3 linked regions of the Xenopus tropicalis genome follow. The protein of the gene in region 1 purifies or fractionates together with the protein of each later gene. This does not show direct contact. Links are inferred from orthologs where the notes say so. Each region holds a gene or a part of one and is shown in the gene's direction. Other genes may lie near its edges.

What was found. Proteins that work in one complex are often made in the same cells at the same time.
Region 2: the proteins of hspa12a (region 1) and akap12 purify together in Homo sapiens (affinity purification with mass spectrometry; 3 studies listed by BioGRID and IntAct, with this or other methods). This does not show direct contact. The link is inferred for Xenopus tropicalis from reciprocal best matches to the Homo sapiens genes HSPA12A and AKAP12.
Region 3: the proteins of hspa12a (region 1) and epb41l3 purify together in Homo sapiens (affinity purification with mass spectrometry; 4 studies listed by BioGRID and IntAct, with this or other methods). This does not show direct contact. The link is inferred for Xenopus tropicalis from reciprocal best matches to the Homo sapiens genes HSPA12A and EPB41L3.

What each region holds. Positions count from the first base shown.
Region 1 is NC_030683.2:5,385,165-5,389,365, forward strand, and holds part of hspa12a (heat shock 70 kDa protein 12A), read left to right. Parts: intron 1-2,974; coding exon 2,975-3,125; intron 3,126-4,201. UniProt on the Homo sapiens protein: Adapter protein for SORL1, but not SORT1. Delays SORL1 internalization and affects SORL1 subcellular localization.
Region 2 is NC_030681.2:44,981,808-44,986,008, forward strand, and holds part of akap12 (A-kinase anchor protein 12), read left to right. Parts: coding exon 1-3,391; 3' UTR 3,392-3,399; intron 3,400-4,201. UniProt on the Homo sapiens protein: Anchoring protein that mediates the subcellular compartmentation of protein kinase A (PKA) and protein kinase C (PKC).
Region 3 is NC_030682.2:106,388,096-106,392,296, forward strand, and holds part of epb41l3 (band 4.1-like protein 3), read left to right. Parts: intron 1-915; coding exon 916-1,091; intron 1,092-2,910; coding exon 2,911-3,131; intron 3,132-4,201. UniProt on the Homo sapiens protein: Tumor suppressor that inhibits cell proliferation and promotes apoptosis. Modulates the activity of protein arginine N-methyltransferases, including PRMT3 and PRMT5.

The sequences.
Region 1 (4,201 bases):
GGCCGCAGGGACACCGGGAAAAATGCCGGTGGGCCCCAGTGGCCCAGTCCGACCTTTGCCGGCGATCCTCCTACTGACAGTTCCTCCCCGACGCGTTCAATTTATACGCGCTTGGGGAGGACGTCAGGCGGGGGCCCAACGGGGGGGGGGGGTTAGGGGGGCCCCTGGGGGGGGTTAGGGGACGCGGCTGGGGCACCTGCAGGGCCCCTGGGGCGGGAGCCCCGGTGGGCCCTGCACCCCCCAGTCCGACCCTGGCCACAGATGTGGGTAGGAGCGAGGGGATTGGCTGCCCATTACAAGGCATGAATATGTGCCAGGAAAGCACTTAGCAGTGATCACATTCCCTGGGACAGCAGTAACATTGATCTGCGCTGAATTACTGCCATTTTGTCCAGAGGAGCGTAATTGCCTCATCTCACGCCACGCGCCATATTCACAGTGCGGCCTCTGGGTATTTATCCTTCCTGGCATCCATGGTCTCACCCCATGCCAACGCTGCCTTCTCTTCTGATTGGCTCTTCTTATTCCAAGGTCACTGCCTGATATTAACGAGCCGGCTTTGCCTTTATCACTTATCTGCCTAATGAATATTTCCAGTTTCACAGTTTAACTGAATTTATAACTTTTAATATTTAAAGGCACCCAGAAATAAAAGTGACAAACACAGTAACTGTATAATATATAGGCACAGTGTAACCCCCATATCCTATACACACAGTAACTGTATAATATATAGGCACAGTGTAACCCCCATATCCTATACACACAGTAACTGTATAATATATAGGCACAGTGTAACCCCCATATCCTATACACACAGTAACTGTATAATATATAGGCACAGTGTAACCCCCATATCCTATACACACAGTAACTGTATAATATATAGGCACAGTGTAACCCCCATATCCTATACACACAGTAACTGTATAATATATAGGCACAGTGTAACCCCCATATCCTATACACACAGTAACTGTATAATATATAGGCACAGCGTAACCCCCATATCCTATACACACAGTAACTGTAATAATATATAGGCACAGCGTAACCCCCATATCCTATACACACAGTAACTGTATAATATATAGGCCACAGCGTAACCCCCATATCCTATACACACAGTAACTGTATAATATATAGGCACGGCGTAACCCCATATCCTATACACACAGTAACTGTATAATATATAGCACAGTGTAACCCCCATATCATATACACACAGTAAAACTGTATAATATATAGGCGGTAACCCCCATATCCTATACACACAGTAACTGTATAATATATAGCACAGTGTAACCCCCATATCCTATACACACAGTAACTGTATAATATATAGGCCGTAACCCCATATCCTATACACACAGTAAACTGTATATATATAGGCGGTAACCCCATACCCTATACCACAGACTGTATAATATATAGCACAGTGTAACCCCCATAGCCTATACACACAGTAACTGTATAATATATAGGCACAGTGTAACCCCCATATCCTATACACCACAGTAACTGTATAATATATAGGCACGGTGGTAACCCCCATATCCTATACACACAGTAACTGTATAATATATAGGCACAGTGTAACCCCCATATCCTATACACACAGTAACTGTATAATATATAGGCACAGTGTAACCCCCATATCCTATACACACAGTAACTGTATAATATATAGGCACAGTTAACCCCCATAATCCTATACACACAGTAACTGTATAATATATAGGCACGGCGTAACCCCCATATCCTATACACACAGTAACTGTATAATATATAGGCACAGCGTAACCCCCATATCCTATACACACAGTAACTGTATAATATATAGGCACGGTGTAACCCCCATATCCTATACACACAGTAACTGTATAATATATAGGCACGGTGTAACCCCCATATCCTATACACACAGTAACTGTATAATATATAGGCACGGTGTAACCCCCATTATCCTATACACACAGTAACTGTATAATATATAGGCACAGTGTAACCCCCATATCCTATACACACAGTAACTGTATAATATATAGGCACAGTGTAACCCCCATATCCTATACACACAGTAACTGTATAATATATAGGCACAGTGTAACCCCCATATCATATAGGGGGCAGGCAGTAACTGTATATAGGGTAGCTGCTGTATCTCTGGTCTGATTGCTGCTGTTGTGCAAAGCTGGGCGCTGCGGGGCTGCTGGAAGCAGGTAGAACCCCTGATTGCCTCCTTGTTCCTTATGGAACAGTTTCCCTTAAGGTGGCCATACACGGGCCGACTATAGCTGCCGATATCGGTCCCTTGGACAGATTCGGCAGCTAATCGGCCCGTGTATGGGGAGAGCAGAGCGGCCTGGCCGACCGAGATCTGGCCTGAAATTGGCCAGATCTCGATCGGCCAGGTTAGAAAATCTGGTCGGATCGGGGACCGCATCGGCTCGTTGACCTGGTCCCCGATCCGACTGCCCCATTGCCGCCCACATAATCCGATCGTTTGGCCCCAGGGCCAAACAATCGGATTATTTTTTTTTTAACCTAAATGCTCCCCGATATCACCCACCCGTAGGTGGGGATATCGGGGGAAGATCCGCTTGCTTGGCGACATCGCCAAGCGAGCGGATCTGCTCGTGTATGGCCACCTTTAGGCAGTGGTAGTACTTCAGTGGTGTAGTAGCTCCACCTACTGGTCATCACAAAAAATTGGTGTTACGTTTTTTTCATTTTATTAACATTTTATTATAATCATTTTATTATAATCATTATTATTGTTGTTTGTATTTATAGAGCCAAGATGTTCCTCATGTATAATACATGCTTATATACACTAAACATACAGATTACTTGCAAATATATACATTAGATAACAAATACAGGAGGTACATAAGACCCTGCCCAAAGAGTACAAATTAACTAGATATGTGGAACATCTCATAATAAAGTCCCTATCTCCCCCCTCCCATAGGCAGGCATGGCAACACCTGAGAACCCAGAGCAGCTGATTATTGCCCTAGAACCCGAGGGGGCCTCTATATACTGCAGGAAGCTCCGCCTCCACCAGATGATTGACTTGAGCAGCAAAGCGGCTATCAATGGAATCAGCCCGACAGATCCAGGTAAGCACAGATTGTTATGTAATGAGTAGTAATGTGCGGGATCTGGGCATTGTATGAAGGCTGGGGCCCTAGTCCATGTGGTTATTACTCCAAACAAAAAAAAAAGATAGTTTTTGGGGTGAGGTGGGGGGACATTAGCAGGAAAGTCTCAAGGACTTGAACTAGAAAAGTCAGACGACCACTGGATCATTTCTATAAATATACAAAATCATATATAAATCTCACAAAAAAGGAGTTTGTATTTTTAAAGAGAGACCTTATAGAAAAATTGAGAATCTCTGTGCCCCGAATATGCCCCAAAGCATCAGGGTCATTTAATATGCCCACCCATTCCCAGCATTCCTAGCAGATCACCCGAGGCTCAGTGCACATTTCCCAGAATCTGATGCCCATTCCTAGGGATCCAATGGAAATTCCCGAAGGTCTAAGGAACCTTTCACAGTATCCAGTGCAATTCCCCCAGAATTCACTCCAAAAATTCAAAACCCTTCATCTCAGATCCCCATTGGTCCATTTCTAATCTGATTCACATTCCTAGGGATCCAATAGAATTTCCCCAAGGTCCGAGGCACATTTTGGCAGTACCTAATGCATATCCCCAGAATTCAGTGCCAATTCGCTAGGATTTATAGCAGATCCCAGAATGTGATTCCCAAGCCCTGAGACACGGTTGGCAGCAGCCAATGCAAGTTTCCCAGGATTCCCTGTCTCTAAAGCCCTTAATTTAATAACAACATACAAATTCCCTAGGATTTAATGGAAACTTTTCCACATTTCAACAGCAATTCTCCGAGACTGAATGCCAATTTCCCAGCCGCCAGCCCCCTGAATCAGCCCCCGACACCTCCCATTTTCATTATTAAGATACAATTGGCGATGGCAAAAGCCGGCGCTTTTCAGTCCGAAAATGCATTTCATTGCATTATTTCTTTATTTCATACAAACTGAAGTTGCAGATCTCCAAGCCGCATCAGTTTATTTATGTATTTAACTTTTAATGGCTGGATCCTTGAACCTCCCTTAGTGATGTGTCTGAATGGGAAGGGGGACATTGTTGCCGTGGGGCTTGGCGGATC
Region 2 (4,201 bases), on another chromosome or scaffold:
AAGTACTTTTGTTTTGACTGAAACACAGACTGATGAAAGTTCACAAATTTTTGTAGCAACACAGGCAATAGAAAGTGTTTCTGTTTTGAAAGAGGAGTTGGCAACAGAAAGTGACCCTGTGGTGCCAGTGGAGCAGGCTAACAATATTGCCACAGCTGCCAAGGCTGCCATTAATGCTTCAAGTGAAGATGAAAAGCAAATTTCAGAATGTTCAACAGTTATGTTTGATGAACATACAGAGAAAGAACATGTTGCAGAAAGTCCCACACATGTTACTACAACACTTACCGCAGAAATTGCTTCTGTAGCTGAACAGGATGCTGTGAAGGAAGAACAATATGCAGAATACCCCCACAGTATGGCAGGTTTTAGTGATTCCCCGGTTTCAGAGAGTCCCCCCGCTCTGACTATAGAGCAGACCATGGAAGTCACCACTCCAGCTGAGGGACATGATAAAGCAAGCACAACTGATGATGAAGATAAGAAGGCTACAGAAAGTATTTCTGTCGTACCTGAAGAACAGGAAGTAGAAAGTCTAAACACTGATGTTGAAGAGCAGGATTTAGAAAGTGCCATTGCTGCAGGTCTAGAACAAGTTGCAGAAAGTGCCAGCACTGCAGGCGAGGAGCAGACTAAAGAATGTGCCCCCACTGTGGATGAGCTGCAGGTTGCAGAATGTGATACTATAAATGTTGAGGAATTAAGTGAAGAAAAGGCTTCTGCTGCATCTTTGGAGCACCATGCAGAAACTTCCTCTGTTGAAAAGTTGGTTGGTGAATGTCCAAGTACTGCCAAAGAGGTACAGGTTACAGAGAGTGCCACCCTAGTTACTGATGAGCAGCTTGCAGAAGTTGCCGCTGAGGAGCATGCTACAGAAAGTGCCGTGAATCTTGCTTTGGAGAAAACTGAAGAAAGTGCTACTACTTTGGCAAAGGAATCTGGGGAAAGTCTTCCTCTTGCATTTGAGGAGTGTGATGCAGTAAGTGCCCCCAGTTTGGCTGAGGATCAGGCTGAAGAAAGTGGCAGCACAATTGTTGAGGAACAAACTGAAAGTGTCTGTGTTGCTGAATTGGAACAGGCAGATGGAACTGCCATTTCTGATTCTGACGGACAGATTGCAGCTTCAGTAGATGAAAAGCACTCTGCAGAAAGTGTCTCTGCTGAAGCTGAGGAGGAGGCTACAGAAAGTGTCACCCTTTCTGCTGATGAACAAACTGCAGAAGGTATCACCCCTGCGACTGTAGAAGACACAGCAGAAAGTGCTATTTTTGCTGTTGAGGAGGAGACTGCAAAATGTGCAATCAGTGTGGCTAAGGAATCATATGAGAAAAGTACCTCTACTATAGCTGAGGAAAGTTCCACTGCTGTAGATAAAGAGCAAGCTGCAGAAAGTGTAACACCTGTTGCTGTGGAGCATATTGAAGAAATGATCCCTGCTGCTGCTACTGAAGAGCTGGTTGAAGAAAACTTTAGTGTTGAGGAACAGTCTGCAGAAGCTATTCCCTTGGTGACTAAAGAAATAGCTGAAGAAACTGCTTCTGCTGCATTTCAGGAGGAGGCCACTGATAGTGCTACCGTTGTTGATAATGGACTAGGTGCAGAAAATGCCATGAGTACTGCTGAAGGCTTGGCTACAGACACTGAGACACCTGCTACTGAGGAACAAGTTCCACAAGATGTTACCGCTGGTTCTGAGGAGCAAACTGACCAAAGTACCATCTCTTGTACAAAGGCGCTGACTGCAGAAAGTGTTACCAGTTTAACTGAGGAACCAGCTGCAGTATGCATGGCTGCTCCAGTTGAGGAGCAGGCTGTAGGAATTGTTACTGCTGTTGCTGATGAGCAGGCTGGAGAAAATGCCACTACTCCTACAGAGGAACAGGCAGTAGAAGTCACTGCCAATGTAACTAAGGAAAGTGCCCCTGCTGAAGTTGAAGTACAGGTAATAGAAAATGCCTCTGCTGAAGTTGAAGTACAGGTAATAGAAAGTGCCTCTGTTAACACTGAGGAGCAGTCTTCAGATATGGAACAGAGAGTGGAAAATTACTCAGAGGCTGCCCCTGAAAAAGATGCAACTGAGAAGGAAGTAATTATCCTAGATGAAGAAAACACTAACGCAAATAATAAAGCATTGACTTTTAGTGCTGATATGGATGCTCCATGTTCTGTAGATCTGAATGATGTTGTAGAACAGCAAGAGGACAATGTTGTTATGACTGTGGAAAAGACACCTGAAGAAATGGTTGATGGAAGAGATCTTGCATATCAAGTCCCCCAGACTGTTAATGAAACCATCCCTTCGGTTGCAGAGGAGCACAGTATGCAAAACATGTTGGTAAACATATCAGAGGAATTAACCCTAGACTCTGTTGTGTTGGCAGAGAGCCTTGAATCTACTGCTCTTCACGTGCCACAGGAGGAAGTCCCAGTGTGTGAACAAGAGACTGTGCCAGAACCAACAATCTATTCAATGCCTGTTGAACAACAATCAACCACTGTGACTGAGGATACTGTGATCACAAATATCCCAGAGTTTGAAAGTTCTGAGGCTATCAAAGCATGTGAGACAGTTAATACTGCAGCTGTACAAGAGCAGATTTTAGCAGAAACTGTTGTGCCTATTGAGATTTCAGCAGATACCACAGAAGCTTGTGAAACCGCAAAAGGTGCAGATGACCTTAGTGAGACGTCTGGGGCTCTACATACAGTGGTACAGTCTGTATCTCAGAAAGCAGCAGCTATTGTTGATGCCGCAATTGAAGCAGCTGCAAGCTGTTTGGTTGTAGAGGCTGCCACCACTACTTTAGAGCAAAATATAGCAGAAAATGGTGTTTCCATTCAAGAAGCTGTCTCGGTATGCACAGAAGAAAATGCTAGTGAGGACAACCTTGTTCAAACCATTACTATCAGCACTATCAGCACAGTACAGATTACTGAAACATCAGTGGAAAAAATTGAACAAATAACTGAGGATGTTCACATTGGGGATGAAGTTCAGGAATTTCAGCATGAAGAACACAAGCATAGTTTAGAGGTTGAAGAGATTGTACCTGTTTCTGCTCAGGGTACAGAAGTAGTAGTGACGGCTGAAGAGAGACAGGGTTTGCAGGAAACAGCAGCACCTGAATCTGAACCCACCACAGTAGCCAGTGCTACTGGGTTACATGATGGCTGTGCCTTGCAAGAAGAGCATAAAGAAACCACACCTGTACACACACATGAGGAATCTTTAAAACCTGCAGACAGTGAGTGTACAGAGCAAATGACTGTGCAGATTACACATACTGAAAGTGAATTAAGTATGTCCATCAGCAAACCTGTAGAAGAAATTGTCTCTCAGGACAGTGCTGAGTTGAACACACAAGCAGACTCACAGACTGTGGAATCCTGAGACAAAAGGTAAGGTATTACCCACTTCTTTCTCTTCTTTCATAATGGTTAATCAATGGTACAAATACCCCATTTTGTAAAAAAGTAAGGATATTCAAAGTGACCAAGTAATTTCACAAATAAATAAAGGTTATTATACAGGTCATAGAAATCGAGGTGACTTCTAATATCCTCATATTTCATGGAAGCTAGTACTTTATTAGTTATGATACGCACGTGTCAGTGGGTCATGCAATGCAACTTATGGAATTTAAGGGTTGTTGATATAGTAAATAATCTACCCCCTTCTGTAAAATATAAGGATATTATAATTCACAGAGGAGTTTAATGACTATTCAAAGGCACAACGGGCAAAAGGTGAGTGCTTTTATACAGGTCATGGAACTTCAACAAGTATGTCCTCATACAAGTTTCAGTGAGCCATGTGAGCAGAATGCTCAAATTACGGGAAGGCCACCTCCTATAGACTCTATTTTAATGAAATTCTAACATTTTAAGGATGATTTCCTTTTTCACCATGATAATAAATCAGCAGCTTGTATTTGATCCCAACCAAGATATAAGTAATCCTTATTAGAGGCAAAATAATCCTATAGGGTTTATATATATCAAAGGCTGAAATTATTGCTCCCCACAGTTCACCAGAGGGCCATTTTATAGTTTTTTATTTGTTTGTATGTGAATTGTAGTGGAATATTTATCAAGGAGGAAACAGAGAGAGAGTTCACTTTTAACATTTTGACAAACATGTTCCTAAAAATACTATGCAACCCCATTTTCACTTTTTATAAAAAATATTGCCCAGAGTTTG
Region 3 (4,201 bases), on another chromosome or scaffold:
CAATAACTTTATTTTTACCAGTTTTACCCGTCGGCCCATGGAATGTTTAATGCTTCTAAATGAAAATGAGCATGTGCACATTCTTTGTAAATGTTATTCAATGTTTCATTAAATTCACAGTGCTCTAAAAAAGTTTTTACGTATTCTCGGCAAGTGTTTTTCGGCTTGCCGAGGATATGCTCATGTGGCATCAGCCTAAAGGTGAAAAAAATTGATGTCAAGCACCTGTGATTCTGTGGAACTGCAGGAAAATTAATACAAGCAGCAACCTGAGGGGAAGCTGCCGAGCACAGTGGGGCCTAAATCACAGAATAGTGTGCAAATCTGGTCCAGGAGGCTTAAAGGGGTTGTTCACCTTTACGTTAACTTCCAGTAATTTGCAATTGGTCTTCATTTATTATTATTTGTGCTTTTGTAATTATTTCACTTTTTATTTAGCAACTCTCCAGTTTGGAATTTCAGCAGTTATCTGCTGTTGTTAGGGAACAAATTACCTTAGGAGAGGACCTGAATAGAAAGATAAGGAATTAAAAGTAACAATAACAATAAAATTGTAGCTTCACTGAGCAATAGATTTTGAAAACTGGAAAGAGTCATAAGAACAAGGCAAATAATATAAAAAAAACTATACAAAATAAATAATGAAGCCCAATTAAAAAGTTGCACCAGCACAAGGACCTGCAGCCAGAGAGACTGATGGTGCTGAGGAAGGGTGCAACGTGTGAAAAACAAGGTGGTTTGCACCCTGCCTAGTACATAGCTCCAAACCAGTTATTATAAATATGTACCAAAACCACAACTGGTATGTATCCACAAATGGCTCAGCATTTATGCAGAAAATATAAGTAATTTGTGTTTACAGTGTACTATATAGTATATACTTTGGTTATGTGTAAGTAAATCTCTCCCTAACAGACTGCTGATGCCCGAGGCGCCTCCTAAGAAATTCCTCACGTTAGGTTCCAAGTTCCGCTACAGTGGGAGGACTCAGGCACAGACAAGAAGAGCGAGTGCACTCATTGACCGCCCCGCACCATATTTTGAACGCTCTTCTAGCAAGAGATATACCATGTCTAGAAGTTTAGATGGAGGTAAATATTTAAATATCTTTTATCTGTAACACTTAAATTCTAGGCTGTTTGCAGCGACAGCAGTGACAACCTAAAGTCATAAGTGGGAAGTAGTTGGGCTCTAAATAGACAGATAAGCAATAAAAAACAACAATGCCAAAGCCTCACAGTCATTCTGCTTGTGGATTCTCTAGCAGCTCACTGGCACATACAAGAGCCAATGTGCAGTGCAGCAATAGTGTAAATCATGGATGAAAGATAGACAGTGTTCTCTAGCATTTAATTCATTTTCTGTGTATTCCTCTAACACTACCTGGTCTGTTGCTGTGTCAGGATAATACCATTTCCATATAGTTATTTTACAGGACAAAGCAAAGCAGCAAACTGCTAGAAACTGTCTCGGTTTATTTCCTAGTGAGGGTAATTGTCAGGACCAGGAAAATAAGGACTTAAGGGAAGATGGGCATTGAGGGTTGTGGATGAGGCAGAGCCCAATAGCATAGTATGAAAAGGATCCCATTCTGCAGATATGTTTTTGACGAGTGAGTGTAATATATTGGCTATATTGGTTGCACTGCAGTGAAAACACTGGGATACATATAAACATATATAGTTAATAGTCTAATGTGGGTAGTGAATAGGACTATAATGGGATAGAAACAGTCTAGAAGTAACACCTTTCTTTTCAAACTTGATGCTAGTTATTGTTGGCATGCTTTAATTTGGGTAGAACGGGCATAAGATGTGGTTGCTTAGCAACCCAGACTTTTATTTTGCCTGTGCAAAATGCCCTTGTGTGCTCTCTTTCTGCTTTGTTACTTCCAGCGATGCCATCATTGGATTTTCAGCAGCAGCCTTTGCAGTAATTAACACCATAACTACATTTTTTTTTCTCTTTCATAACTTTCTGTCTGTCAGGTCATGGAGAATAAATAAACCTAACACCTGTATTATAAGGAATCCATTAGTGACTAATAATCTTGTGTTTTGTCAGCTATGCTTGCATCACATTTGTAATACCCGGTGGTGTAAGTCATTATTTGTGGTTTATTGAAATGTTCTGCACCTTCTTTCAGTACCTTTCTACTAACAGTGCACAAAAGTAAACATGGACAAAAAAATGGATATTAATTGGAAAGTGCATTCCTTTCGGTAAACAGAAATGCATTTGTGCATAGCCCCTTGTGTGTACAGAATGTTCTTTTCTGTGTAATTGCTTTCCTACACTGTATACTCACCTATGCCGAGACATAGAGCCCTGTGTGCTGATAGCACCATCTCTCTACAGTAACTATGCTTGCTGCTGTTGAGACACATTGTGAATTAAAGTAGCATCTAAATATTAAAATACTTATTTTATCATTATGGCCCAATGCTCTTTTCAACCCGAGGCCCCTATAACTATATAGAAGTATTTGGATTCTACGCATGAATGGCCTGCCTTCTGCAAAATGTAACTGAAATAACTGTGCATAAAAATAGGATCATTTGATCCTGCAGATATTTGAAATGTTGCTGGTTTGCTAATAAGGTTTCATATATAAAATGCACCAACTGCATGACTGTAGCACTGCTCTCTTCTGGCTATGCCCAAGCGCCCCAATATTCCTTTGCAATGCTCACGTGTATTGTGTATCACCAGGAGATCCAATTGTGCAATTGCCTAGATGTGTGTGTAATGTCCATGATGGCCAACTCATAAACACTGCTATAGATTTCCAGTTTAATTTTCTTTCTATATCAAAATTTGGCATTTTTATTCTAGCCCCCTTTTGCGATTTCTTTTAATCAAACCATTCCATACTCAGTTTTTGTTTTCAAATATCATATTTGCTTTTAGCATCAGTGAATGAAAACCATGACTTGTACATGAAGGATTCTGTGTCTGCCACAGAGGTGGGTACCGGCCCCTACATCACAGCTAAAGGTATCTCTCAAACCAACTTGATAACTACAGTAACACCCGAAAAAAAGGCAGAAGAAGAGAGGGATGAGGAGGAAGAGAAGAAGAAGAAAGTAGAGATCATCACAACAGTTACTACAATTCGACATGACACAAAGGTACAGATTATGTTCCTTTATCTTTTCAGCAAATGTATTTAAGATTAGAGGTTACATGCTATATAAAATATGTTCCATAATAAAGTGTGCAGCAATGAAGGGACAGCCCTTTAAGTGCAATAGGTGGGGGGAATAAATAACACATAAATATTAAATATACTGCTGCAGTGTTTTTCCTATTCTAATGTACTCATTGGACAAAGTGCAAAGAATCCATGACCTGTACAGTTTTAGTGACTTGTTGAAGGCCATAAGAGGTTTTCAAACTGTTCTTGCTGAAGAGCCTTTTTGATGCTGACAATTTTATAAGGCCCACTTTTGGTTTTAGAAAGAAACAATAACAGAAGGGAAAAGGGGACTCAGAGGAGGAAAGGTTTATATTGTCATGTATGACATGTATCAGACCTGTGAAGTATCTCACATTTAATGCAACACATATTTTGACATGCCCTACCATTCTCATGCAGTTTTCTATTCTTTAAATGTTGTTTTACTCCTTTACTTCTTCCCACTTGTTCTTCCACTTCTGCTCTCCACTCATTATTCCTCTCTTTCCTAACATTCACTATCTAGTTTCTCTTTCTTTGCATGTTATCCCACATTGCCTTTAATTGTGTCAACATTTTCTGGTCTCAATCTGTTTGTTCCCATTCTGTTGTCTTTCTTCCTGTTAATTATCTTTGTCCTCTCCTATTTCACCTTTTTTATTTTCATTAGTGATTTTCCCTTCCTTACAGTTATACTTCACACTTCCACTTTCTTGATGCTCTACTAAACCCATCCTGTTTCCCCTTATATCCCTGTCCTCCACCCTGTCTTCTTGGTCTGTTTTGCTCACCTCCTTTTCTATTTCTTCCCCAACCTGACAACAAGTGACACTTAACCTCTGAAAACCTCACATGGTACTGCAGCAGTTCCTGAGCTCTCTTGAGCTTAGCAGCACGCTGATGCAGTTCGTATGAATTTGACCCATACGACCTATGTGATGTGCCTGGGGCCATGGCTCTTGCTATGTCTTATTTGGAGCACTCTGTATTCAGCAGCAATAACACTCAAGGACTCAAGGGTAT